4 linked regions of the Mytilus edulis genome follow. The protein of the gene in region 3 interacts with the protein of the main gene of each other region in a pairwise test. Links are inferred from orthologs where the notes say so. Each region holds a gene or a part of one and is shown on either strand. Other genes may lie near its edges. The genes, in order: E3 ubiquitin-protein ligase RNF103-like, RING finger protein 11-like, ubiquitin-conjugating enzyme E2 N-like and E3 ubiquitin-protein ligase AMFR-like.

Region 1 (6,992 bases), on a different chromosome or scaffold from region 3:
TTTGACAATTACTTAACCTTAAATACTACCATATAAATGAAAAATAAAGAGGTTTTAAACTGTTGACAGTCTAAATTTGACATAATTTTGAAAATTAGGACGTAACAAGAGTCCATTAATTTTCTGTTGGACGAACCGTAGGACAAAATCTTCTAATGTCGGACGTAACAGCTTTTTAAAAGTAAAAAGAACCTTGTTAACAACTAACAAGTCCACATAAACTAAAATATAGTTCTCAGACTCTTCCTAGTCTCTTCTTAAGAGGTGCCCATTTTTAAATTCCCATTAGGATCAGTAAATTAATGAATTTTGTCCTATGTTTGTCCGACAGGGAATATAATCTGTCCTATGTTTGTCCTACAGTTTTTTATGGTTTTGTTTTATCCATTTATTTAATAATGAACCATTTTACCTCTTGCTGAGGAACACCAGCTGTAGATATTAGTATAAACAGCATAGTTTTGATTTTGTTTTTGACTTTCAATGATGCAAATGGAACAAATTCTCATCCAAAAATGTCCCCGTTTGTCCGACATATTTTAAGATTTTTCCAACTTACAAGTAAGAAAAATTTAACAAAATGATATACTTTAATTGAAGATCTTATGAACTGTCAGAGAAAAATTGATATATTTATTAACTAGGCCTTCATATAAAAGGAAAATATTCAATTTTTCAATGTCCTGTTACGTCCAACATAACCTCTGTCCAACATGCTATTTAGGTCTAATTTTATGTTTTCTGACTAAATAACTATCTTTTTACATGTAAAACCCTAAACTAGAATCATTCTCCTTTCAGAAAATCATGTTATTAAGATTGAAACAGCTACTTTTAAAATCATATATGTTGTCACACACTAACAACACTATACTGAATACTTAGCCATATACAAAGTATGAAGCATCCAGGTCTTCTACCTTCTAAAATATAAAGCTTTTAGGAAGTAAGCTAACGCCGCCGCCAGATCACTATCCCTATGTCGAGCTTTCTGCAACAAAAGTTGCAGGCTCGACAATAAAACTAATATGGTCATGGGAGGGAATTGATTAAATTCTGATATATCCACAGCACATATATATCAAGTCTTGCATGTTTCTAACACATCTCTTTGTAAATGGATGACTTTGTCAAAAAGTTTTCCATCCAATACTTTGAGAAGTTTGCTTTAAAACAACATATATATTTGGTACAATTTAAGTAGGAATCATTCTTACTGTACCTTTTTATCATACTTATAGGTTGTAACCTATACACTTTTTTATTAATTTTTATCTGTACTTACATTGGGTCTAAACTACAATCAAAAACTCCTATATTAACTCCAAATGCAGACATTTTTTGTTTGATGATATTCCAGCTAGTATCTGCTAAGTAGTTGACATGGCTTTGATCTGGTATGATATAAACCAACCAAATGCTATCCTTAGCATCCTCTACATGTTCATCAAACAGACTTCCGGTTGTGAAATTTGTAACAGCAACTGTCGAGATTTCCTCTTCCTTATTTGTCTTTGTGTCTTCAGCAATGGCACCTGAAATCATATTGAAATATATACATTTAAAAAAATTTTGAATACATTTTTGCATTTTCTATTTGCAAACAAAATTTGAGTTTGAAAACATGTATTGTATTTTTTCCGCTACAGTAGGCAGGTGTCAGAAGATCTGGACCATTTTATATTCTATGAATGTATAGTTTTAACTTTACATTAGAAATTATGTAATATTAATAGAAAATGTTATTGTAATGACATGATTGACAAATGCTCTTGTAGTTTGCAAGATCAGAAGCTTTCATATGTCAGCTGTCTAAGGGCATATAAACTATATATCTTCCAAAATAATAGGCAGCAGCTTTGCCATACATTTTTTCACTGTCATATACAAAATGTAGGCTTGTTATTGAAAATGTATTTGGCACAAACTGTGGTTAGGAATTATAACACATATTTTCAGTTGGACTGTATTTACATACTTTGTACATTAGTATGTGTCTCAATGATGGTATAGTCACTCTGGAAATCAATTAGATAAGACTGGACAAATTACATTTGTCATTGTAATGTAAGATCTTGAAAAATGTGTGTTTTGTTTACATGGTTTATGAGAATGAACCTTAAATTGTTTTGGTTTGTTTGAATTGTTTCATTTTGTCATGTCAGGACCATAACTAGCGGACTATACAGTTTTGTTTTGGTTAATTGTTGAAGGCCATACATGTATGCTGATGGATAGTACATGTAACTTACGCATGTACAATGTACATCATTGTCAATTGAACTTTGGTGAATAGTTGCCCATTGGCAATCACATGACCATCTCATTTTTATGAACATACTACTGTAGGATCATACAAAGATTTTTTTGTTTGCAGACTTCCAACTGTCATATTTAGGTTTGAATAGAATTAAATTGAAATCAATCTGAAGTTATCATGGTGACATCTCTTCAATATATCTTTTTTTGATACAGAAATCTGTCAACATTTAAGATTACATTTCATATCTTAAAATATCAAATTGTTATTTGTATAACCTGATGATTCAACTAATTCAGCAAGCTCTTGTTTCTCTATTGCTCCTTCATAACCGATCCCTCTTTGGTCTAGCAAGGCCTTCAGTTTCATGACAGACATGGTCATTGGATCAAGGAGTCGACGTGACAGATTACCCACTTCAATCCATGTTAAAGTTTCAAGTATACGTGTCAGCAGAAAAAGTATAACAATGTATACAAGAAACAATATTAGCTTGATGAACATTGTTATATATGGCGGGAACAAATGTCAAAATATTAAGTGACACGTCTACATTAAACTTCCCAGAAAATTTGATTACAAAGACAACAAAATCAAATGACAGTTTTTGTAGACAATTTAGGTTCAATACAATGCATCATTTAATGCAAAAGAAAGGTCTGGTAAATGGCAAATTCCCCCATTTTATCTGACGAAAGACTTTCGTCAACTTTACAAAGCTGCCATTCAACCGGAAGTAAACAAAGGTCAGTGAGAAACTAAAAACCAAAACGTTGACGGAGACAACAGAACTTCCAGTTTATTGTTTGTACTTTAGAAATGTTTGGCAGCTATTTTTTGAAAAATTTCATGTTTATTTGAGGTGAAGTAGTACATAGGTCTTTAAAGGGTAAGATGAACTCGCCATCTTGTTAGTATTAAATGATGAAACATTTATCCAAACCAAGAATTTGAATAGTCAAAATCAAAAAGACAAAATGCATGTTGTAAAAGCAAATTATTACATATGATCACCTATCATGCCTATAGTACACTGAAAACAAATATTGTTGTAAATAACATGACTCTAACATGGCAACCTTTACTATTGACACGTACATGACATATTGGGTCGTTTTTACTGTGTGCAAAATGTACAAATTAATCTGATCACAATACACCTTATCACTAATCCCGGCTGACCCGGCGTCTTGAACTTTTGACGCATAAAACAATCACTTTTCCATTGTGGCATTAGATATTTTTTCGGGAACCTGTGTGATATCTAGTAATTACGGACATATACATGTAGCTATATGAGGTGTATTGGATTGAGTTAGACAAGCGCTTGCTAAACAATATCCGATTTGGTTATTAAATCAATGTTTTTATAAATTTATAACCACCAATCACAGGATCTTGATCTCACTTATGACAAGTTTTAATCAGGAGTAGTCCAAACAAGGAAAGCAGTAAAAAATCCTAATGTGTGACTGAGACTTACAGAAAAATGACTTGTAAATGTGTAGTCATGGTAGTTGAAGGAAATATTTTTGGTAAGCTTGCTTGCTAGGTGAAATATGTAAGGATTATTAGTTAGGTATGACCCCTTTTTTAGGTGGATTAAACCTTTATATTTAAGTAGATAAACAATTGCAATCAAAAGGAAGGACAGTGCACACACATTAAGAAATTAGATTAGAAATTTATGTGTTTCCAATCTAAATTTAGAATATAGTGTTGATGATGGTAGTTAAACGACCTTGACTGGCTTTTCAGTCTGCAAAATATAGTGTATAGCATTTTGAGGAGGTGTTTGATTTGTCAATTTTTTTTTTAAACAATACAATAACATTTTTACAATTGCATGGTAAGAGGAACATCTTGAAGACTTCTTCTTTAAGTTTTCAGTAGTCCTTCATTATCTGAAGATTATTTACTGTTTTGCGCTGCGTGGCCTATATATATATTTACAAAAACACAAAAATAATTGAAAATGAGTGGAATGTTGGAGTGCGTAAAAAATAATTTTAAATTTGTGATTTGACCCCCTAAGTTTAATTTAACACCTTCTGCAGTACGTATACTCCCCCATTAAATTACACATCAAAATCAAATAATTATATCCTTTTTATATATGTATCAACATATATAAAATTGTCATGAAAAGTGTTTTTTTCTTCCATTTATTATAGAAACTATATGTTTTATCATATTTACAACTGTATTTTCTAAAAGACGCAATATTTGTGTTTGACTCATTTTTTCAGCTTTGCCACATAAATGGAGATAACTCAGATTATATGGGAGATAACTCAAATAAAGTGATTTTGATAATAGAAAGTGTGAATTTACCTATTTTTATATGTAACAAGAAAACAAGACCGGTGGCCCACTTTTTCTTTTCTTATCTGAAAGCATGTTAAAAGGCTATTTCCTCACATTTTATCTTATCTTAAAATTCTATGGTGTAGTTTTCTTTTATCAAACAAAATTGGATTTTCCATGCATAATCTGTAAAAAATTTGACAATTTTGTACAACCCGTATCATGAAAAAAAAAAAAAAATCTGGTGACCCATACTTTTTGTTATTAAAAAGTATGGGTCAGGATAAAACTACATTTTGACAAATTATTAAAAAACTTTATATATGGATTCCATCAGTTCACCTTGAATTGACTGAAATTGAATTGGCAAATCGAGCACACCTTTAACCTGAAAACATGTTTTAATAACTAACTTGTAAAATCGGTTTCACAATATTTATACAATGTATATTGCTCCTACTTTTGATTGGATCTGTGCCTATTCATTGTCTCCTCCCGAAAAAAGGTGGTACCTTAGCTTATAATGATTTCATGGTTCAGTTACATGTACATGTAGCTATAGCAAGCAAGATATATAGCTTAAGATATTACTGTTACCTACACACTCAAGTCATTTTTCTGTAAGAGGCAAATTTTTGGTGTACATGAAGTTTTTAAGAAGAATGATTAAAAGCTGCCATTACAGTGAATATTTTAGTCTCCTTACTCAGTATATTTACTCTGTACGGGGATACATATAAAAAAGAAGATGTGGTATCATTGCCAATGAGACAACTATCCACAAGAAACCAAAATGACACAGACATTAACAACTATAGGTCACCATACGGCCTTCAACAATGAGCAAAGCCTATACCGCATAGTCAGCTATAAAAGGCCCCGATATGACAAGGTAAAATCATTCAAACGAGAAAACTAACGGCCTTATTTGTATAAAAAAATGAACGAAAAACAAATATGTAACATATAAACAAACGACAACCACTGAATTTCAGGCTCCTGACTTGGGACAGGCACTTACATAAATATTCTGGTGGGGTTAAACATGTTAGCGGGATCCTAACCCTCTCCTAACCTGGGACAGTGGTATAACAGTACAACATAAGAAGGAACTATAAAAATCAGTTGAAAAAGGCTTAACTCATCAGATGGACATATAGGCTATTTGCTAAAGGAAATTGTAAATGCATGTACATTCATAATTTGAAATTTGACAATGTTTAATATATGTTTTATTTTAAATGTTTATTATTGCAGTGATGAAAGGTACTGGTGGCATCAAATATAAATATTAACAGACTCGATCTGGCATCCTTCTTTGGAAGTCGATATTTAAGTCCATTGGAGGAAATATTTATAGAAAACATAAACACAGATTTAAAGAAATTTATACAAAGTGGTACAAAGAAAAGGTAAGATAGAAACAATTTAAATATGCATTCTGAATACTACATTCATATCATTAATGTTGTAAATACATGTACTATGTTTATACATTGTATCACCAATAGTTTTAATGACTATAGAACTATATTTCCCTTATTCTTTTCTGTTGTTGTAAACCTTTCCAAAATGGACTTCAGAGTTCAGACTAATTCTGTACCTAATATTAAGAGAACTCAGTTAGTTTTTTACAAACGAAAGGGAACTAATGCCTGGTGAACCCTGAAGTGGATACCTGGGAGAATATGATACATGTGATACCCAAAAATTGTAGTGAGCCTTTGTTCAAAGGAGTAGGGGCATTAAGGCCTGGTTTTGGCCCAAGAAAATAAAATGTTTGATAACTTTTTCAAATCGGAACATAATCTTAAGAAATGCATAGGGTCAAGAAATATAAAGAAAACATTAAGATTCTTATGTGATGACGTCACAATTACGTCATAATATATACTGTTTTCACAAAAACGATGAAAATTCAGAATTTATGCAGTTTTCTATCTTTATTTCTGTTGTGGAAACATCGTGCGCAGCCAAGAAACAACAAAATAATTTAACTGAAGCTTTATCATTACTATTGACAAAATCTCACCAAATATAAAGTTGTTTCTTGGGTGCGCACATACTTTTCCAATCAAAAATATACTTAACAATTTGATGAAAAACAACGAAAATCACAAAATTTTACAAAATATGCAAATTAAGGCATGATTTGTTGCCATGGTAACTTGTTTAATGTCCAAAATTATTTTGTTTTTCTGAATACCTTCTACCTGAGATACTTTTCAGTAATTTTAAAATATGTATGAAAACTTTTAAATTTGCAGTAATTTTTGGGCCAAATAAGGGCCTTATTGCCCCTACTCCTTTGTAATTGACAACATACTATATATATCGCTATACCAGGTACACTTGAACATGATATAGTTTATATACACTTTGCTATACCAGGTACACTTGTATATTATATAATTTATTATACGAC
Region 2 (7,283 bases), about 36 Mb from region 3:
CAATGTCTGCGCAGTAGACTATGGAAATATAAATTAACTATTTTTAAAATCCATTTTTTTTTTCATCATGTGACAGTAAAAATATGAATATTTAAAGATAAATTACCTATTTAATATGCTATTTTTTTTCATCATGTGACAGTAAAAAATATGAATATTTTTTTATCATCATGCGAGTCTGACAGTAAAAAATATGAATATTTTTTTGTTGGCCTTTAAAATATAAAATGATTTACAAAAGAACCTTTTAAAGCACTTATAATGTGATGGGGCCTCAACAGGAAGTTTTGACAAAATAATGTAAATGAAACAATACATAACTAATTCCTGTTTACTATATGAGTACTTCCTTATGATAATAAGTAGGTCACATGATTAAAGTGCTTAGTAAAGCTAGATTTAAAGATAGTTAACCAAGTGTACTTTTTTCAACCTGTCTACTTACATGGAAATATAAATAATGTATGTTTATTTACGGTAAAGAAAAGGAATATAAATCAATTGAACTCTTTTGATACCTATAGTTACACAAAATCAATCCTTAAATATACACTTTTCAAACATATTAGGTAGACACTAGACAGTATCAAAATTTGATAAAACATAAATATAATTTAAGCTATAAAAGATTATTTTAAAAATTAAAATCTGTATTCTGCAGACCAAAACAAGCGACTCTATTATAAGAACAAATAATACAATAAACATTTTCACTAGTGTTTTTTTTTTACAAAAAACAAATCCTAAAACTTTTAGTCTATAGATTTAATCTGAAACATACATTGTAACTTATGAATATAAAATACTAAGCAAAATGCTAGTCCAATATTGCTCTGACCTTCAATCGCTGTTTTTCCGGAAAACAGGTTTAAAGAAAAACATTGAGCCAGCCAGACATTTTTGGTACATTGTACCTGACTAAACAATATGTGTTATAGTAGTCTCAGATTGAACCTTTTAATTTTTTACGACTCAAGCCATTTCAGCCAGGTGCCATATGATGAGATTCTACTATATAAATTATTCATACCCATATTAAAGAATGATAAGGCACATAAATATGACTTTTTTTACAAAGCACGGTTACAAGGTAACCACTAAGATAGTGACACCCATGTATAAATATGATCAACTTACTCTTTTCCTCGTTTACTACACCCATCATAAACTCCTGTAGGTAAATGACTTATAAGACCTAATCGTTGGGCAATCTTTATCTGTTCATCTTCTGTAAGCATATTAGCTGGCCGACTGACATTGGGTGATGGATAATATACTGGAGCTCGCTCCTGAAATGACCAAGACAAAAGTTACGAGTGTTAAGAGCTGACAGAGCAGTTGATGAAAGAAGAAGGCATATATACTTCTACATGATTGTCATGATAGTGGTTTATTAGAGCCACATTTACATGTACATAACTGCACATTCCTTACTCCAGTTATTGGCAATAAATTTCTATAGTCAATACACATTTAGGATTTCTTTAACTTTAATAAAGGTCCTGATACCTGATAAGTTATACTTAACTAACCATTGATACCTGAACCTGAAACAAATCCTTATCTATCTGAAACAATTATATCCTGTGTCTCCTAAATAAACTCATCATAGACATCAGGATGAAATTTTGTATAAAAGCCAGACACACGTTTCGTCTACAAAAGACTCACCAGTGACGCTCGAATCTCGAATCGAAACTCCTAAATTAGTCATCCTAACAATCATTAGATTGAAGTTGAAATGTACAATAACCTTCATTTACAATGTATATTTTAAATTTTGTAGTCTTTGTATCACGTTTATATAAAACTAACTTTATAAACATACTCTCTGTGAAGATTTTAAAACTGACATTGTCTGTATCTGTATCTGTATAATACTGGAAATGAACTCAAAATACTGAGTAAAACTTATCCAGGAAATGTGTGTGCACCACTGATGTATCTAGTCATGCGATATAACTGCCTTAAAACTTTCCACAGTTTTACAGTTCACGGCAGCATTTGGTAGTAAGTTCCAATCAATGATAGTTTGTGGAAAAAAAGAATGTTTATAAATGTCAGTATTTGCTGATAAAAGTTTTATTTGTTTGACGTTAGAAATTCTGGATGGTCTAGTATTAAATTCTATATGATGTTCAGTGGGGATGGCTACCAGGTCGTTCACTATTTTATACAGTAGTACCAGTCATTGTTCTCCTCTTCGTTCCACAAGAGGTTTCCATCCAAGGTCCTTCATCATGGAGGTGACACTACTCGTACGTCTATAGTCTTTACAAAGGAATCTAGCTGCTCTTCTTTGTATGTTCTCTATGCGGTTTATGTCTTTTTGTAGATATGGACATTAATTATGAACCAAAATGATTTTAATATTATGCAGAAACATTCATTGTTTACAGGTCCATGTGTTTTTGTGTGTCACTGTTCTAAAGACGCTCGAATCAAATCTCCTAAATTAGTCATCCTAACAATCATTAGATTGAAGGTGAAATGTACAATTAATAACCTTCATTTACAATGTATTTTTTTGTAGTCTGTGTATCACCTACATTGTATATATAAAATAACTTTATAAACATACTCTCTGTGAAGATTTTTAAAACTGACATTAATTATGAACCAAATGAGTTTTAATATTATTCAGAAACTCATTTCCATGTGTTTTTGTGTGTCACTGTTCTAAAAATAGGACATAGACTGTCTTTGTTGTCAAGATCAGCTGATCATGGGGTACATTTATTATACAAACACAGACATCAGCTAATATATATTTTTTCAAAATGTCACAAATATCCATTAAATTATAGTCCTAACTAAAAGTAAATGTTTGTTGATTTGCGTACACTTCTCATAATGACCATAAAATAGGAAATATTTACCTGATATGGTGGTGGAGGTCCAACTGGAACAGGAGCTGCCTGCTGAGTTCCATCTTGGCTGTCATTGTCATGTAACAGCGTAATATCATCCGTACTTGGTGTTTTGAAACAGTTGCCCATTTCTCACAAATATTTTGTCATTCAAAGAAGGGTATTTAATCGGTCATTGTTGACGAAATTTTGCACCAAAACATTAACCAAACAACATCAGTTTTTTTTATCCTTCCACATTTGTTGACGTAAATAAAAAGGATTATTTTTTTTTGACACAGAAATTAGCGATTTTATTTTGAATAATTTTTTAGTTAATATGAAATTTCGAACATAAGTACTACAGGAAAAATATTGAAGATTATTGCTGTATTTTTTTCCGGGTAGAAATAATATTCATAGCGTATGAATATGTCTACTTTCGTTTTAGAAAAATAAAACGCACACGGGAAAGCAATTTTATTAAAATGATCTGAAATCAATAAAAGTAATCGGTATCACTGTTTAAAAAATATATTTTCTTGTTTTTGGAATACATGTCTTACAGCAGAAATCATAACATTAAAATGTTATTCGTGAATAATACATTTACGCTGCATGAAAGCTTCTGTGGTACTCTGATCTACTTTCAGTTTGCCAATTTTGCAAGTTGTTCAGAATAACAAACTGAATAAATGTTATAATGTCCTGAGCAAATCATCTTTAATCAGCTGGTAGTAGAATATGGCAGGAACAGACAAATATGAATGGTAAACACACTATTTTTTTAGTCTTTAGTAATTACACATTGGAATTTTTTGGGAAATACTTAGTCTGTTGATAGTAAAATGCTGTCATTTTTATGTTTTGTTTGCGTGCTGTCTTTGTGATATTAGTTGGCGGCATTGCCACAAAACTCATCAGATGCACCACCTCCAGCTTCAAATTAATCCAATACACCTTATCTCTATTTAAGGAGGCTCGTGTGTATAAAAAAATCAGCAAAAAATTAAACAACAAATTTTATTTATAACACTATTAGTTATTACTTTATGATATGGTACAAAAATCACCCGGACTAATCGATTTGGTTTGGCCACAGATGACTTTAAAAATGTATATATCATTGAAAAAGCTCCAAATTATCTCCCTTTGGTGCAAAAATGTAATTTTTTGACGTTTAAATTGAAATATCTTTTTTAACTCATCGGTGACCTATATTTTTTATTATTGTTTTCAAATAGGCTGTACATAAACTAAACAATTGTAAAAATTAAGCGATTTCTGTAATTTAGTTCTTTTTTTATTTTGATATTACCAATATTTCTTCTATTAGTTCCACAGAAAAAAAGGACATTGACAAAAATGTATGCTTCTTTCGGAAGCAGATTGTGAGCTTGAATGAACGGTGACCCCATATTTTTATTTTATATTTCTATTAGGTATAAGATAAAGTTTAATCATAGAAAAAAATAGCAAAATCCTATATTACAAAAAAAGTTGATATAGACCCGTGAACCCCCTTAATGTCTGCCATTACTGGACATTGCACAGGTTCCCGTAAAATTTTGACGTCATAATACAAAATATCTGACGCCACAATGGAAAAGTGATTGTTGTATGACTTCAATAGTTCGAGCGGGACAAATTCAGGGGTCAGTCAGGATTAGCAATAAGGATTAATTAAGGTGTATATGAATAGGTCCATGAATTGTTTCTGTATAGCTTTTTGTAATTTAAGAACAGTTTGTCTACAGAGAACAGATTTTTTTTTCAAAGTTTCTTACACTTCACTTAAGAACTCAAAGCAGAAGTAGACTATTACCAAAATGTGTGACAATTTGGGAATTTGTAAATTAAACAGGAATTTATTTTTGTTACTCAGTTTCAAACAAACATTGCTGATGACTATATGAAACATTATGATATTTATTGTTGAAAATGCATCCTTGCTCCATGCACATAACACTGCAGCTAGTAACACTGTGATGGTGGTGTTGAAAAAGTATCCTTTTGTGAATATTTTAAATGATTGGTTAACATGCTAAAGGGCTTTTTTTTTTATAATAATAGCTTTCAATGTTTATCCATTTAACTTAACATTCTCATTTTTTATTTTTAACATACTTACTTAACATGCTTAATATATTCAAATTAGAAAAAGTCTGAAAGAAATAACTAACAATACAAAGACTTGTTATAATGCATGTTATCCTATATTAACATAAATATATATTTTTAAAAAGATGAACAAGCACATGCGATCATATAATGACGATTTATCCAGGTCTGTATATTTCAAGTCACATATTTATCAATTATCATGGTTTTTGACCAGGTCAATACGTTATATATATGTTCAGATTATATTGAGCGGGCACGAAGTCTGAGTGTTAATATAATCTTACAGGTCCATATATAGCGTATTGACTGAGTGAAAGTCCTTGATTTCTACATTACATATGTAAATAACGTATTAGAAAAATGACGTTCAATGTTCTTTCTGTGTATTTTTTAATTGTATTTTGCAAAAATTTAAAAATGTTATTGACAATATCATTTTTTTTTAAACTTCATATTTTGTTGCATTAGCATTCTCAAATTCTTTTCATCTGCATTTAACATAAAATTCTTGAAATCTCCTGATAAACTTTCAAATTTTCTTTTCTAATGCGGCGCTTCTTCTGTGGTTGTTATGTGTGACGTCATAAATCTAAATTTAGTAACATTTTCATATTGACCACCAATATATGTATTAATAGCAGCATAGCGTCACTATATGTTAAAAAAATACAACCTTTGAAACATGTGATCGTCATATTATCCAATGAAAACAGTAGAATGCCAGTGGCGGATCCAGAAATTTTAATCAGTGGGGGCCTACTGACTGACCTAAGAGGGGGCCACTCCAGTTACGCTTCAGTGATTCCCTATATAAGCAACCAATTTTTTTCCCAAAAAGGGGGGGCCCGGGCCCCTAAATCCGCCTCTGAATGCTATACCATATGTAATATAAAATAGTAACATTCAAACTAGTGGTTTATGCAAATGCATTACATATTACTAAAATATAGAACTATTTAAATGTTTATAAAGCTGCATGAACCTATAATTTATAATTTAGGTCAAACATCTTGCTTGAGTATCTTCCATCAGGTGTTATATTTGAGATCTGCAAACATTTGACTTGGCAAGATATTTTCCACATTAGTCAGACATGTAGGAGATTCAACCAATTGTGTGATAAAGCAACTATATGGTAAGTCAAAATATACCAGTGATTATTTGTTAACGTGGTACATAACACTACAGGGAGATAACTCTGTAAAAAGCAGCTGAATGTTTAAATCAAATTTTATTTTTAAGGAAATATAATGTTTCCCAATGATCAAAATGTGTCCTTGTCAAAATACTATATATCAAATGAAAATTTTCTGATAAAATACTCCATTCAAATTTTTTGGATTTTTTTATATTTTAAATATATGGGTAAAGTACACGCAGGAAATCCATGTAAATTTGTTCCCACAAGTAATAATAAATCCACAGCAATTTTCACTATTAATTCTTAACTGATATTTATACCCCTGCTTTAAACTCTGTCTATCAGTCTGTCCATCCATCTGTAAGTCTTTCGGTCTGTGACGTCTCATGAATATTTTTTGTCGCATCTTTCTCAATATCTACATTACAACAAGATTTCTGAAATTTGGTTTATGGGTTAATATGAGTCAGCTTTACTGTGTGATGCATATCAAATTCATCACTGAACAACTTCTTATTTTAACTAATTCTTTCAGAGGGCAGGGTATCAAAAGTGATCAGTAACTCACAGATTTACTTGTTTTGATTGTTGTTATTTGTATTTTTGTCTGATAATTTTGAAACATGATCTATTTACAGGCTACAGTTAAAATCTCTAGATTTCAGTAAATGTATGTTTCCATTAGACTTGAAAGTTCTAGATGTTGTCAAAAGATGTCCTCAAATAGGTAAATATCTTTCTCAGTTTCTGCAAATTGTATGTTTCCCAAATACTGAAGAATTAAGATTTACAATAAGTAAGTTGTTTTAATAAGAATTAAATGCTTCTCTTTAAAATTTCATTGGGGTATTAAAGTGTAAGCTGAGAAGAAAATATTGTATGAAACAGAGTCACTTCATATAAAAAATGTATCAATTGTATGCTTTAATTAACGTCTGAAATTATAAAAAGGAGCATTCAATCCTTATAATTACATTTTAATGCTACAATGTTGAAATTAAGAGTTGAATAGTTAGCATATTATTAGCATGTTTTAAATTAGTTTTTTTTAGTTGAGTAATTCTTAAATTAGAAAATACTGCATGCATTTATTTTTAGGATTTTTATACAACTGCAAAAATGGTCGTCGTCACCTTCGTCCAAAGACAGATGGTTTCCAATACATGTAA
Region 3 (7,406 bases):
GTCTTTAAGAGAAAGGTATATACCTACATATTACATAAAAAATCCTTCCCAATTGAAATTTATTGGTCTATTATCACACTGTAACGTGCCAGTGCTAACAAAAGTGTGCATGTTTCTAAGACATATTGAAAAAATATTTTCATAATTCATAGCATGTTACAATAATTTCTAACCACGTTGCAATTAAGAATTTTGCAAACAAATCAACCAAATATATTTCAGTTTTATTGTATGATATCAATTATTAATCTATTGTGTGACTTTCTTGTAAATGTATAAGTATGTATGTAATTTTTAATGTATAATTGTTATCCTCTTGTAGCACCATACGTGTGCCTAAGTTGTAATAAATTGTCTTGTCTTGTCTACAATTAAATAATAAATGTGTACCTTGCCTTCTCTATGCGGATGACCTGGTGTTATTTTCAGATAATAAAAAGGGTTTACAAACCCAACTTATTTTTTATACCAATATTGTAGTGACTGGTGTCTTGAAATAAACACAAAGAAAACACAAATTATAATCTTTAATAAAAATGGGAGACTACTGTCAGATGAATTTAATATAGGTGCAAACAGAATAGAGTGTTTGAAATTCTATAAATACTTAAGGATTAGTTCTTACTAATACTGGAAAATTTAATGCAGCTAGAAAAAAACCTATATGATAAAGAACTAAAGGCTTCTTTTAAATTTTACAAAAACATTAAGTCATTTTCTCCATCTATTAAGACTTTACTTCATATATTTGATCACACCATCAAACCAATGGCTGTGAAATATGGGGTATGTTAAATTTGACTCCAAAAAGAAGAACCATGCATCTTTTTGAAATCTTCAAAGATTGGGAACCTGATAAATTAAATCTTAAATTTTGCAAGTATGTTCTTGGTGTCTCCAAAAATTGTACAAATATTGGAGTTATATCAGAGCTAGGTAGATTTCCTTTGTATATTAACATAGTAATTTAAATGTTTATGTATTGGCACCACCTTGAAAACTCGCCCACTGATCTCTTAAGTGATGCTTATATTGAAAGTTCCTCTGATAAAGCTGTGGCTAATCAATCGTGGTATGCAAACATAAAGTTTTTTAGTGAAAAACTTGGTTTAAATTTAGCACTTTGTAAAAAACTCAGTAAAAATAAATTCAAAATTTTACTTACAAAATGTATCAAAACGGATTTTTTAACATATTGGAGCCATCAAAAAGACTTTTAAAAAAAAGATGATCACAGTAAATTGAGCAACTACTTTAAATTTAGACATAATTTCACTTTTGAAGATTACTTCAAAATTAAGAACAGAGATAAGAGAGTTATACTAACTAGATTTAGAATAAGCAATCATTGTCTCCGCATAACGAAAAATTGATGAACATGGAAAAAATATTAACACTGCCAAGATCGGAGAGAACATGCCAGTTTTGTTCAATGAACTCGGTTGAAGACCCTTTATAATAAGGAAAGAAAAGGCTTTTTATTTTTACTTTATGTGATTACATGCTTGTTATGAGCCCTATGATTAGGAAATAAAATATCTTTATCTTATCTTTATACGACCGCAAAAAAAATATTTTGCGATCGTATATTGGTATCATGTCGTCGTCGTCCGAAGACATTTGGTTTTCGCACAATAACTTTAGTAGAAGTAAAAAGATATATATGAATTTTAACACAAGGGTTATGACCATAAAAAAAAAGTTGGGATTGATTTGGGGAGTTTTGTCCCAACAGTTTAGGAATAAGGGCCCCGAAAAGGGCACAAATAAGCATTTTTCTTGGTTTATAACTTTAGTATACTAGTAAGTAAATAGAAATATATGAAATTTAAACACAAGGTTGATGACCACAAAAGGAAGTTTAGGATTGTTTTTGGAGTTTTGGTCCCAATAGTGTAGGAATAAGGGACCAAAAGGGTCCAAAAGTAAACTTAGTTTGATTTCATCAAAACTTGAATTATTGGGGTTCTTTGGTGTGTCGAATCTAAACGTGTATTTAAATTCTTAATTTTTTGTCGTTTTCAAATTGGTCTCAATTAAGGTTCAAAGGGTCCAAAATTTAACTAAGTTTGATTTTAACAATAATTGAATTCTTGGGGTTCTTTGATATGCTGAATCTGAACATGTACATAGATTTTTTTTATTATGGGCCAAGTTTACAAGTTGGTCTAAATTGGGGTACAAAATTAAACTTTGTTTGATTTCAACAAGGATTTGTATAGTAAATACAAATCCTTGATTTCAACAAAAATGGAATATATGGGGTTCTTTGATATGCTGAATCTAACCATGCATTTCGATTTTTATTATTTGGGCCCCTTTATCAAATTGTTCCACACTGAGGTCTAAAGGGTTCAAAATTGAACTTTATTTGAATTCATCAAAACTTGAATTCTTGGGGTTCTTTGATATTATGCTGAATCTAACCATGTATTTATATTTTATTTATTGGACCATAAAAGGTAAAAGACCAAATTAAAATATTTAAGATTTTAGACCACATTCATTCTGTGTCAGAAATCTATTTTGTGTCAACGTTTTAATCACAACCCAAATGCAGAGCTGCATAAAACTTGAATGGTGTGTCCATACTAGCCCCAACAAGTTCAACCTCTGCGGTCGTATCAAGCTGTGCCCTGCGAAGCATTTTATTATCTAATATAATGAAGCATAACAGAAAAAAAAGTTTCTCTCTAAATATCATAGTTTTCATGATAAATGGCAAAAATGAAAATAAAATATCATAAAACTTGTCATTTATGGGCAATAACTCCTATAAGAGTTTGTCTAGCAGTTTAGTCGTATATATGATAAAGGACAATTGATAGAGCTCATTATTCTGAACTTATTTTTTCATTTCAGATTTTCTCTATTTAATATAACGGTTCAAAAATAATAGATAAAACTTGCTTTTTACTTTTCTACTTTTACCAAGTCAGCCCTGTTGGTTGGTAGGCAGGGTTATCTGACATTTTTTAGCTAGATACTAACCTTAATGATGGTTGTTGCAAAGTTTGGTAAATTTGTCTCAGTAGTTTCAGAGGAGAAGATTTTTGTAAAAGACTACAATAAATTACAAAAAAATATCCAAAATTGACTACAAAGGACAATAACTGCTACAGGGGTCAATTGACCATTTTGGTAATGTTGGCTTATGTGTAGATCTTACTTTGCTGAAAATTTTGCTGTTTGCAGTTTATCTCTATCTATTATAATACTCAAAATAATAACCAAAAAATGTAAAATTTTCTTAAAATTACAAATTCTGAGACAGCAACCCATCAACAGGTAGTCTGATGCGTCTGACAATTTCAGGACAGATACGTCTTGATCTGATGAACATTTTCACCCCCGTTCAGATTTGCTTTAAATGCTTTAGTTTCAACATGGAAGTATTATATTGTCAATATAATACTTCCATGGTTTCAACAACAAATGAAAGATTTTAACGACCTTGACAGGCTATACAGCCCTTGCACGGTCGGCATTAGTTTCATCGGATACATTTTTCAAACTAGATACCCCAAGTTTGGTTTTATTTGGCCCATGCTTTCAGAAAGGAGATTTTTTTTAAAAGTTAGCGGACGACGACGGACGACGGACGCGAAATGATGAGAAAAGCTCACTTGGCACTTTTGGTCCAGGTGAGATCAAAATGCCGGAAGACTATGAAATAGAACCTATTGACATCCAAATCAAGAATAGAAGTGGGTATGGACACTGCTTTCTGTCTCTATATTGCCGGGGTGGGGTGGGGAAGAAAAATAGTTAATATCAAAATCAATAAAAAGCAAATGAAAATTAAGAAATATATGCATTATAGGGATAGAAGAATTCGGTATAATGCAATAATACAAGTACAATTTAGACTCAGCAATAACTCTGATTCGGTAAGTCACCCGTTAAACTCGGGAAAATATTCCATGTTTCAACTTGGTTGATGTTTTTCAGTCATATTGTGCCATTTCGTGGCTGTCAATTTTTTTTATATTTCAGTTGAGGAAGCCGGAGTGCCCGAAGAGAACCACATACCTTCAGTGGTGGATCCAGAACTTTTCCTAAAGGGGGAAAAAGTCATGCTTCAGTGATTCCCTATATAATCAACCAAATGTTTCCCACTACAGGGGATCCAACACCACCACCCCTGGATCCGCCTATGAGTTCTTCGACATGAAAACTGACAATCCGGCCTAGTCAATTACGATTGGAGTCGAGTGCACCTGCCACTTGAATAGTAGGTATTGGGAATTTATGTTATGATAAAATCTTTATTATGCCTAGATAACATTCCGATTTTTACTAGGAGGATTCTGAATCCTACTGAATTCCATTTTTTAATGTGACATATTTAAACAAAGTGAAACAGATACAATAGTGGACGAGTTGCACTGGGGCGAAATACCCATTTTTAACTTCCGGGGAAACGCCATTTTAAAACGTTCTGGTTCTCTCATAAACAGATAAACAAGACTTATTATAAGAAAAAGTAAAGAATGGCCACTGTACCTGGGAATTTACCCCGTCGAATCATAAAGGTGCCAATTATATTTCTCATAAAGTAGTCGGGATTCATAAATGATATCATACTTCAGTGTCTACAACATGATTTGCCATTTTTGAGTGAAGAGTTGAACATCATCATGTACAATTTCTTTGTGAATGGCGAGTTTTGCGGCAATACCTTTTTTTCAGTGATGAAAAGAAATACCATAACATTATTGTTTTAAGTTATTAGTCCAACAAATGATTAAGAATTTGGATGTCAATTCAGGGTTTGGTCCCCTGTTGGTTTCGACATCGGTCTGACATACCGATTTATTGGCGATTACCGGTCTATTTGAAAATCCGGATAAAAGGCCGATATGACTATAAAAGAACTTATTATTATTTGTTATCTTCAACACTAGACCCTATAAGTTGAGAAACTTGAACTGTTGATGTAATTCAACAATCACTTTTAGGTTGTTGCTGAGACTACTATAACATGTGTTATAGTAGTCTCAGGTTGTTGTGTCAAATCCCAACAATCACTTTAAGGTTGTTGTGTCAAATCCGGGTCTGTTCGTCCTGATTCACATTCGCTCAAGTACTTGTTTGCCCAGGTACATTTGTACCTGTTTGTCCAGGGTCCATTCATCTTGATTTGTATTTTTTCTTAATGCTGTCTAGGTGCATAATATTTATTTTGGAAACAAAATATGTTACAGTGGTATCCGGTCGTTCCGGCCCCAAACCGATCCGGCCCCAAGTCAATCCGGCCCACGTCGATCCGGCCCACGTCGATCCGGCCCCAAGTCGATCCGGCCCCATAATAAAATAAGAAATAACTATATTGATCTTGGAGGAATTTGTGACACAGTATAAATGGAATTTGCAAAAAGTGTCCAATGATGGATGACAACAGGTATTAAGTGAAGTATTGGAGTACCAGTTAAAGAACTATTTTAAATCGATACGAAAATGATTGTTATTGTGTCGTTGGTTGTATGGCAGCTTCAACATATTTTAAAATATGAAGTTATTTTCCATGATAACTTTAACTTTAACTCATGGCGATTTCATTTTCTTTTTTTTCATACACAGAATATCTAAATAAATATTTAGTCCACTGGAACCTATTAAATTTAACTCATCATAATGACTTGATTAATCAAATCATTAGTCTATAATTGGTTTGTTTATTCAACAATTGTCTGATGATTGTTAACTAAGGTGATGCCACTTGTAATCACTTAATTAAATCAAATCCTGATTAATTGATCTTCTGGTTAAGGTTGGTGTTTATAATAATTATAAATTGTATTTTTTTCAGGTAACATCACAGGCTTCTATTTACTTGTTTTTTTTTTTTATAATATCAACGAGGTCTTTATAGATTGATATTTTGTTTGGTGTATATAATAATAACCTATAATGGTTTACTTTTATAAACTGTTATTTGGATGGAGAGTTTTCTCATTGGCAATCACACCACATCTTCCTATATCGATATATTTTTCATAAATTTGACAGTATTTTCAATGAATAGTTGTGTGTAGAAAAAACACAAGTTATATGAGTATCCATTATTCTTTATTGCAAGAAAATAACAAAACAATGACACTGAATGCACATTTTCACACTCTAAAATATAATATCAGCACTACTAAAATATAACAATAACATCATACATACTAACTATCTCTGACACTCACATAAATATACATAACCTTTTAATAAATCATTTACACTAACAGTTTTACACTGTCACTTACTTAAAGGAATTGTTTTAATATAATTATACCCAATAATCTTGAAAACTTGAAAAATAAAAACATAATCAACCTAGTTGTTTTATACTCATCTGAAGAATTTTTTTTTTTTTTTTTTTACCGTACACCTTTAACATTATAATAAAAATCATAAACATTTATGAATTACTTTAATATATATCTTTATTTTTATTCCTTATAAATATATTTTTTTATTGGGGCCGGATCGACTTTACATTTGGGCCGGATCGACGTGGGGCCGGATCGACGTGGGACGGATCGACTTGGGCCGGATCGACGTGGGGCCGGATCGACGCGAAAGCGTTACAGTTACAGTTTGTTGAAAAATTCGCCAAATATTTTTATTATGTTATCTTTACATATTTCTGGGTACACAAATATACAAAATGAATCCATGACAAATCGCCCCACACCTAATCGCGCCACTTTTTTTCAAACTTTCCCCACTCTTGTTTACCAACTCGCCCCACTTATGAAAAAGATAAACTCCCATTGCAAATAGGTTTGATAACATGCCCCCCTTATGAAAAGGGTTAAAATCCCGCTGAAATACAGTCTGTCAACTGGCCCCACTCATGACAAATAGATAAACCACTTATAAAAAAGATGCAATCCCATCTTTTTCCCTGCCCACGTCAATACCTTTGAAAACCTAAGTGAAGTGCTATAAAATCAAATTGCTGTTAAAAACTCTGTTTTTGCAATAAAGTTATATATAAATGTTAATCACGCATCAATTGTATGATTATGATACAATTAATAGGTTTCTTTTCAATTGTTATACAAATAACTAAGCTTACAAGTATAAAGTTATTCTCCAATAATGATACGAAAATGTATTTGCAATTATATTTTAAGAATGTTAAAAAAGTTTAATAAATTTCATTTTTTTTGTATTCTGTGTAGATTACAAAAATCAAAATAAGTTTTCATTTAAGTGCGGCTAGTTGGTAGACCTGAAAATTGTATATAGAAGTAGATTTTTCCTTTTTTTCAATAAGTGGGGCGAGTTGACAGGGGAAAAATTAACTGGATTTAACCCTTTTCACAAGTGAGGCGATTTTTTTAAAAAGTGGGGCGAGTTGGTTAACCAGGTTGGGGCGATTTTTTTAATAGTGGGGCGAGTTGGTGAAA
Region 4 (7,530 bases), on a different chromosome or scaffold from region 3:
AATTGAAGAAGTAATTTCTAGAGTATTTGTGGTGTTAGCATTAGCTCCTTCCAAAGCAACTTAAAAGTTGTATTTCATGGAGTGTTTAAATTGAGGGGGGATAGGACCTTTATATGGACTCCGGGATCGTGTGTTTTTAAGCTCGGGATTTCGGGATTGACCCTTTCGGAATCTGGGAATTCTTTTTTTCGGATTTCGGGATGTTGGGATTTGCTTTATTTAAATTCGGGACCTCGGGATTTCGTTTTTTCAAGTCCGGGATTTCGGGATCAAGACCCCTCCTATCCCCCCTCTAAATTGTGTTTTTTTTCATTCCCCATGAAGTCAATGAAAATTGGTATCCCAGGATTATTAACAAATACACATTAATAGTTAAAACAAAGTACCAGTATATATAGAACTTCTGTTAACATGTGTAAAATTTGCATATACCATTAGAAGATCAGTCATAAAGTGTTGTATAGCTTCATGTTGAAATTTACGGTTACTCATGGTTGCTTTGTCATGTTTATGGTTTGTACTGTTTTGCTCATTGCACAATGGCCATGGAGGATAGATAGAATCAGGCAAATATAAATGTAGAGTAATTAATTAAAATTTGGAACCTTTCATTGAATATATGTTAACCACAACTAATAAAGCTTGTTCTTTACCCAAGTAATAGTATCTGGTCCTGTCTTTCTGGACACTTTTGTTACTTTATAACCCTTCTCTTGTAAAGCTTTAGTTAAATGACGGCCCACAAAACCAGTACCTCCACCTAAAATAGACATATAAATTAAATGTTAATTGTTTTTTACAAACTTGTTAACCATGTTAACAGATGTTGAATTATATCAAAATAAATTTTGTTCAAACTAAATTACGGCAGTTAAATCTTTGTCGTGTCATTGACCTTGTTTTTAAAAATCGTTAAAACATTGAAAAATGGACAATTTTGCAAATTATTTATTTTAAATTAGGCCATTAAGTTTTCTTTATTGAATTGTCTCATATTTTTCAAATGGTTTTCCTACTACAACTGGATATTTGTAGATATATTTTTTGGTCAATGATTCAATTAAGAAGTGTCAATACCTCAGTATAATGGGGGTCTCATTGGGGGGTTCCGATCCCAGATCCCGCTTACTGTTTTGTCAGATTCCAGTTTCCCGCTTACACTATGTACGTAAGCAATTTTCATTTTTTTTTGTCATTTCCCGTTTTCACGACACAATAATTTGACTTTCACGTGTCACGCTTACAAAAAAATGGCAATCCCGCGTCAGGCTTAGACCCCAATGAGACCCATTATAATGACAAAGTTCAGGTGAGATTAAGACCCCTATACATGTACATTGTGTAAATGGCAAATCCCAAACACACTGCTTGATGATGCGCCTGACAATGGCAGAACATACAGATAAGGTAGCAAGTTACATGTGACATCTATCATTGTCTATTATTGGTATCTGTGTAGGATTTCAACCAAAAACAAAGGGACCTGGAATAATGTAATTTTGATCAACACCATTGTGCAATATTGGTTATATATAAAGTTGAATTCTTTGATAAGTTGTTTTAACATCATGCCAGCTAAAAAATTAGACTTCATTGTTTCAGATAGTGTAGATGAGGGTACTAACATTGTGTTACACTCCTGACGAAAAACAATAAAAATTCTTGCCAAATGACGTGAACAGTAATATTTGATGATAAAATGTAAATGATGTACACTTTCTTTTATTCTAAAAAAAACAATCAACAGATTTTGATGAATCACATTAAATTTTATCCAGAAATGACGGTAACAATAATTGCTTGGACATGTTATAGATCTCTGACGAATCATGATAAGGATATTTTGATGAATTATGGTAAAATTTTAATCAATTGGAAGCTAGCCGAAAATGACCATTCCACGCCTGACGATAAATTTAAGGGCATTTCATATTCTCATAGATGAGGGGGGATAGGACCTTTATCAGGACTCCGGGATCGGGTGTTTTTAAGCTCTGGATTTCGGGATTGACCCTTTCGGGATCTGGGAATCCTTTTTTTAGGATTTCGGGATGTCGGGATTTGCTTTAATTAAATTCGGGACCTCGGGATTTCGTTTTTTCAAGTCCGGGATTTCGGGATCAAGACCCCTCCTATCCCCCCTCTCTTATGCAACATATAATTTATAATTGTATAAATAAACCAATTTTTCAAGATGTTTCGGCTTTGGTTTATCTATTTATACAATTATAAAATGTATGTTCCCTATTGCAATTTTAAAAACAAGGATATAATTTATATATAAACAGCTAAAATATCTTGTCCTCTATATTTTTTTATAAAAGTCATTTGGTTGTTTTTGTTAGCTCACCTGGCCTAAAAGGCCAAGTGAGCTTTTCTCATCACTTGGCGTCCGGCGTCGTCCGGCGTCCGTCGTCGTCCGTCGTCGTCGTTAACTTTTACAAAAATCTTCTCCTCTGAAACTACTGGGCCAAATTAAACCAAACTTGGCCACAATCATCATTGGGGTATCTAGTTTAAAAAATGTGTCCGGTGACCCGGCCAACCACCCAAGATGGCCGCCATGGCTAAAAATAGAACATAGGGGTAAAATGCAGTTTTTGGCTTATAACTCAAAAACCAAAGCATTTAGAGCAAATCTGACATGGGGTAGAATTGTTAAACAGGTGAAGATCTATCTGCCCTGAAATTTTCAGATGAATCGGATAACCCGTTGTTGGGTTGCTGCCCCTGAATTAGTAATTTTAAGGAAATTTTGCTGTTTTTGGTTATTATCTTGAATATTATTATAGATAGAGATAAACAGTAAACAGCAATAATGTTCAGCAAAGTAAGATTTACAAATAAGTCAACATGACTGAAATGGTCAGTTGACCCCTTTAGGAGTTATTGCCCTTTATAGTCAATTTTTAACCATTTTTCGTAAATCTTAGTAATATTTTACAAAAATCTTCTCTGAAACTACTGGGCCAAATTAATCCAAACTTGGCCACAATCATCTTTTAGGTTAGTAGTTTGAAAAATGTGTCCGGTGACCCGGCCATCAAACCAAGATGGCCGCCATGGCTAAAAATAGAACATGGGGTAAAATGCAGTTTTTGGCTTATAACTCAAAACCCAAAGCATTTAGAGCAAATCTGACATGGGGGTAAAATTGTTTATCAGTTCAAGATCTATCTGCCCTGAAATTTTCAGATGAATCGGACAACCCGTTGTTGGGTTGCTGGCCCTGAATTAGTAATTTTAAGGAAATTTTGCTCTTTTTGGTTATTATCTTGAATATTATTATAGATAGAGATAAACTATAAACAGCAATAATGTTCACCAAAGTAAGATTTACAAATAAGTCAACATGACTGAAATGGTCAGTTGACCCCTTTAGGAGTTATTGCCCTTTATAGTCAATTTTTAACCATTTTTCGTAAATCTTAGTAATCTTTTACAAAAATCTTCTCCTCTGAAACTACTGGGCCAAATTAATCCAAACTTGGCCACAATCATCTTTTGGGTTAGTAGTTTGAAAAATGTGTCCGGTGACCCGGCCATCCAACCAAGATGGCCGCCATGGCTAAAAATAGAACATGGGGTAAAATGCAGTTTTTGGCTTATAACTCAAAACCCAAAGCATTTAGAGCAAATCTGACATGGAGTAAAATTGTTTATCAGGTCAACATTTATCTGCTCTGCAATTTTTAGATGAATCGGACAACCCGTTGTTGGGTTGCTGACCCTGGATTGTTAGTTTTAAGGAAATTTTGCTGTTTTTGGTCATTATCTTGAATATTATTATTGATAGAGATAAACTGTAAACAACAATAATGTTCAGCAAAGTAAGATTTACAAATAAGTCAACATGACCGAAATGGTCAATTGACCCCCTTAGGAGTTATTGTTCTTTATAGTCAATTTTTAACAATTTTCATAAAATTTGTAAATTTTTACTAACATTTTCCACTGAAACTAATGGGCCAAGTTCATTATAGATAGAGATAATTTTAAGCAGCAAGAATGTTCAGTAAAGTAAGATGTACAAACACATCACCATCACCAAAACACAATTTTGTCATGAATCCATCTGCTTCCTTTAATATTCACATAGACCAAGGTGAGCGACACAGGCTCTTTAGAGCCTCTAGTTCTTCTTTTGATGTATCATTGATACATATTAACCATCTCCCTTATTCTCAAGAATAATGCATCACCTATTAAAGCCCTCATTCTATGTGAATCAATGTATAAGCTGATAACTGCTTCCAGTAGCCGGTGACAGTCAAAACAAAACGTTGCGTAATCACAACTTTATAGCCAATCGAAAATGATAGTTTCGCATGTATAATTTGTTGATTAAAACTTTTAAACTCTTAACATGAAAGATTTTCATAACCGCTTTGAAAATTTAACAATGTAATTTGTTTTTTTGTTAAGGGAGTGATTTTCTACGAAACAGTGGCGATTCATGCAACAGGTGCGCTCGATTTCTTAAGATTTTTATTCTATTATTTTTGGGGAAAACTTTTTCAAACAAAGGGTATCTTCTTTACTTATTTATATTTTATTCGTCGATTTATTGAATTAAAACAAACAAAAATCTCTATTTTGGTATGTTTTATGAAAGAAACGATTACAATGCCGCCATAATACACAAAATTTCAAGTCGAGTGTGACACAATATTTGACAGATCGCCACACAATAATGATTTGTTATCTTTTCTAAAACACAAATAAACCACAATGCCTGTGATACTTCTAGAACGGATACCGCTGCCTAGTCTTCGTACATACACTAGTCTCTCTGTTGTATTGTTGTCATGTGCTGTGTTTTATGCCTATCAATGTGTTCTTGCTTTCCAAACAAACCCACATAATTCTGATCTAAACGGAGCCGGAATCGAACATAATGTTAACATCGGTAATTCAAAAGAAATCAGTGACATATTGAATGATCCAGATGTAGTAAAGGAACCATTACCAAGTGAATTTGACATTCAGCTGCCATATGAGAGTTTTTGGTGGAATGTAGTCTATGTTCTAACTTCAGAAATATGGTGCATTTGGGTAGGTACACTTTGGATCCCTGTCTGTTAACATAGATTCATGGTCGTCATGATTGAGGTTTCACTTTGAAATCCTGTCTGTTCACCCAGATTCATGTTCGTCCTGGTTCAGGTTTCACTTTGAATCCCTGACTCCCTGTCAGTTCACCATGATTCATGTTCGTCCTGATTCACGTTTGGATTTGGGTAGGTTCACTTTGAATCCCTGTCTGTTCCCCCTGATTCATGTTTTGTCCTGATTCACGTTTGCCCTGATTCATATTTGTCTTGATTCATGTTTGCCTTGATTCATGTTTGCCTGAGTACCTGTTCGCCCAGGGTCTATTGTTCCTGATTATTATTTGAACAGAGTTTGGTACAGTTTGTTAAAAAAAAAAATTTCCCTTGATTTGCATAGTAGAATACAATGTATTTATATGCATATATTAGCATAGCATAGAAAAAATAAAAACGTAGCAACCTAAACCTCAACCTAAAACCAGTGAGATCTCTGCAGGTTCTCCTGAAGGGTAAATAAACAGATCCTGCTCCATATAAGGCACCTGTTGTGGTGCATTTTTAAGTACAGACTCAGTGATAAGTAACCAATTTAATTCTCTTTCCATTTGTTACATATAAAAAAATGATAGTCAATGAGACAACTAAGAGGACACAGATATATATATACTCTTTATATGTCACTCACTGTATAGTCTTCAACAATGATCAAAATATTTACGATAACTTCAACTATAAAAGTTTTTAAGACATATGGCATGATGATTTTTTTAATTTCTTATATATACTGTATAAGTATTCTAACTTTTGATTAACTGTGTACATGCATGAATGTGTTTAGGTTCTGATATTTGAATTTATTTTAACATTTCCTATAAGTCGTTGTAAGTGATACATATTTATTTTTCAGACTGTTGTTAACACAGCATATTGCTGTCTTATTCTGCTTGCCAAGTTGATTCAAAAAGCTGTATTTGGAGAGTTAAGAGTTGTAGAAAAGCAGGTAATGTTTACATACATGTATTGTTTTGTATATTTTGACTGATAAGGATTACATAATTAAAATTTCTTATAATAATTGAAGTAAGTCTATTTAAATAGTTGCAAACAAGCAGAAGGATCTGTTATTGTCTGTCTTGTGAATACATAAATGTTGAAGAATTACATGCTTAAATCATGTTTACCATGTTTACATTGTCTTGTACTTTGTACATCTAGGTTCATGCTTGAATCAAACTAATGAATTGTATACATGTATGTTATTTATCATATAAAATGAATTCTTTTGATTTTCTCATTCAAAGATTTAATGTGAAAATCAAAGAATAAAAGTCATGATAATGATTTTAAAGATAAACATGAAAAAATTTGTAAGGGTTCCGCGGAACCCAGTGTCTCGCCTACTTTTGCTGTAAATCGCAGGCTCAACAAAAATGAGGAAAAAAATCAATAAAAATATTCCTCTTGATACTATCTTTTGATTGTAAGAAGCTTCTGTCCAAGTTTGGTAAAAAAAATTCTGTCCAAGTTTGGTAAAAATTTAGGATAGTTAATGAATCTAATAAATGTTTTAAAAACTTTAACTGCAGACTGTATGTAATGTTAACTGGAAGAAAATCTAAGTTCATTTAAAAGTAAAATACAGAAAAAAATGGAGTTATCTTTTTACAAAATTTACTTCTGGATACTATCTTATGATCATAAATAAGCTTCTGTCCAAGTTTGGTACAAACCCAGGATAGTTTAAGAAAGTTATTAAAATTTTAAAAACTTTAACCACAGAGTGAATGTAATGTTTCCCCGCAGAAAAACTAAGTCCATTTAAAAGTAAAATACGGAAAAAATGGATTTGTTTTTTTACAAAATTTACTTCTGGTTCCTATCTTATGATCATAAACAAGCTTCTGTCCAAGTTTGGTACAAACCAAGGATAGTTTAAGAAAGTTATTAAAACTTTAAAAACTTTAACCACAGAGTGAATGTAATGTTTCCCAGCAGAAAAAACTAAGTCCATTTATAAGTTAAATAAGGAAAAAATGGAATTTTATTTTTACAAAATTTACATCTGGATACTATATCTTATGATCATAAACAAGCTTCTGTCCAAGTTTGGTAGAAATCCAGTATAGTATTAGTTTAAGAAAGTTATTAAAATTTCAAAAACTTTAACCACAGAATGAATATTTGTGGACGCCGCTGACGACGACGATGGAATGTAGGATTGCTTAGTCTCGCTTTTTCGACTAAAGTCGAAGGCTCGACAAAAATGATTCAACATATTTAAGTACATAATTTTACTATCAGTGTAAAGGACTATCGAAGTATTTCTAAAGAAGAGTGTTTCTTAAAAGATATTATAATTGTAGATGTAATTAAACATACATGTAGAGAATGATATAAGCATCTGTATTCTGTATCAATATAAATTCTGCCAATGAAGGCACACCTCCAAAGGAGTTGAATAAGTAATCCTCTACCA

What was found.
Region 1: the proteins of ubiquitin-conjugating enzyme E2 N-like (region 3) and E3 ubiquitin-protein ligase RNF103-like interact in a two-hybrid assay, tested with the Homo sapiens proteins (3 studies listed by BioGRID and IntAct). The link is inferred for Mytilus edulis from reciprocal best matches to the Homo sapiens genes UBE2N and RNF103.
Region 2: the proteins of ubiquitin-conjugating enzyme E2 N-like (region 3) and RING finger protein 11-like interact in binary tests that used the Homo sapiens proteins (3 or more experiments, as listed by UniProt). The link is inferred for Mytilus edulis from reciprocal best matches to the Homo sapiens genes UBE2N and RNF11.
Region 4: the proteins of ubiquitin-conjugating enzyme E2 N-like (region 3) and E3 ubiquitin-protein ligase AMFR-like interact in a two-hybrid assay, tested with the Homo sapiens proteins (2 studies listed by BioGRID and IntAct). The link is inferred for Mytilus edulis from reciprocal best matches to the Homo sapiens genes UBE2N and AMFR.

The regions. Positions count from the first base shown.
Region 1 is NC_092347.1:26,685,360-26,692,351, reverse strand, and holds the start of E3 ubiquitin-protein ligase RNF103-like, read right to left. Parts: upstream 3,021-6,992; 5' UTR 2,765-3,020; coding exon 2,539-2,764; intron 1,536-2,538; coding exon 1,286-1,535; intron 1-1,285. UniProt on the Homo sapiens protein: Acts as an E2-dependent E3 ubiquitin-protein ligase, probably involved in the ER-associated protein degradation pathway.
Region 2 is NC_092344.1:15,816,027-15,823,309, reverse strand, and holds the start of RING finger protein 11-like, read right to left. Parts: upstream 3,021-7,283; 5' UTR 3,000-3,020; coding exon 2,880-2,999; intron 1,290-2,879; coding exon 1,138-1,289; intron 1-1,137. Other genes in the region: uncharacterized protein, read left to right, coding at 3,594-3,619, 5,974-6,108, 6,753-6,841. UniProt on the Homo sapiens protein: Essential component of a ubiquitin-editing protein complex, comprising also TNFAIP3, ITCH and TAX1BP1, that ensures the transient nature of inflammatory signaling pathways. Promotes the association of TNFAIP3 to RIPK1 after TNF stimulation.
Region 3 is NC_092344.1:52,090,703-52,098,108, forward strand, and holds the start of ubiquitin-conjugating enzyme E2 N-like, read left to right. Parts: upstream 1-4,386; 5' UTR 4,387-4,493; coding exon 4,494-4,535; intron 4,536-7,406. UniProt on the Homo sapiens protein: The UBE2V1-UBE2N and UBE2V2-UBE2N heterodimers catalyze the synthesis of non-canonical 'Lys-63'-linked polyubiquitin chains. This type of polyubiquitination does not lead to protein degradation by the proteasome.
Region 4 is NC_092348.1:64,431,252-64,438,781, forward strand, and holds the start of E3 ubiquitin-protein ligase AMFR-like, read left to right. Parts: upstream 1-4,503; 5' UTR 4,504-4,731; coding exon 4,732-5,055; intron 5,056-5,961; coding exon 5,962-6,054; intron 6,055-7,530. Other genes in the region: epimerase family protein SDR39U1-like, read right to left, coding at 654-760, 4,203-4,218. UniProt on the Homo sapiens protein: E3 ubiquitin-protein ligase that mediates the polyubiquitination of lysine and cysteine residues on target proteins, such as CD3D, CYP3A4, CFTR, INSIG1, SOAT2/ACAT2 and APOB for proteasomal degradation.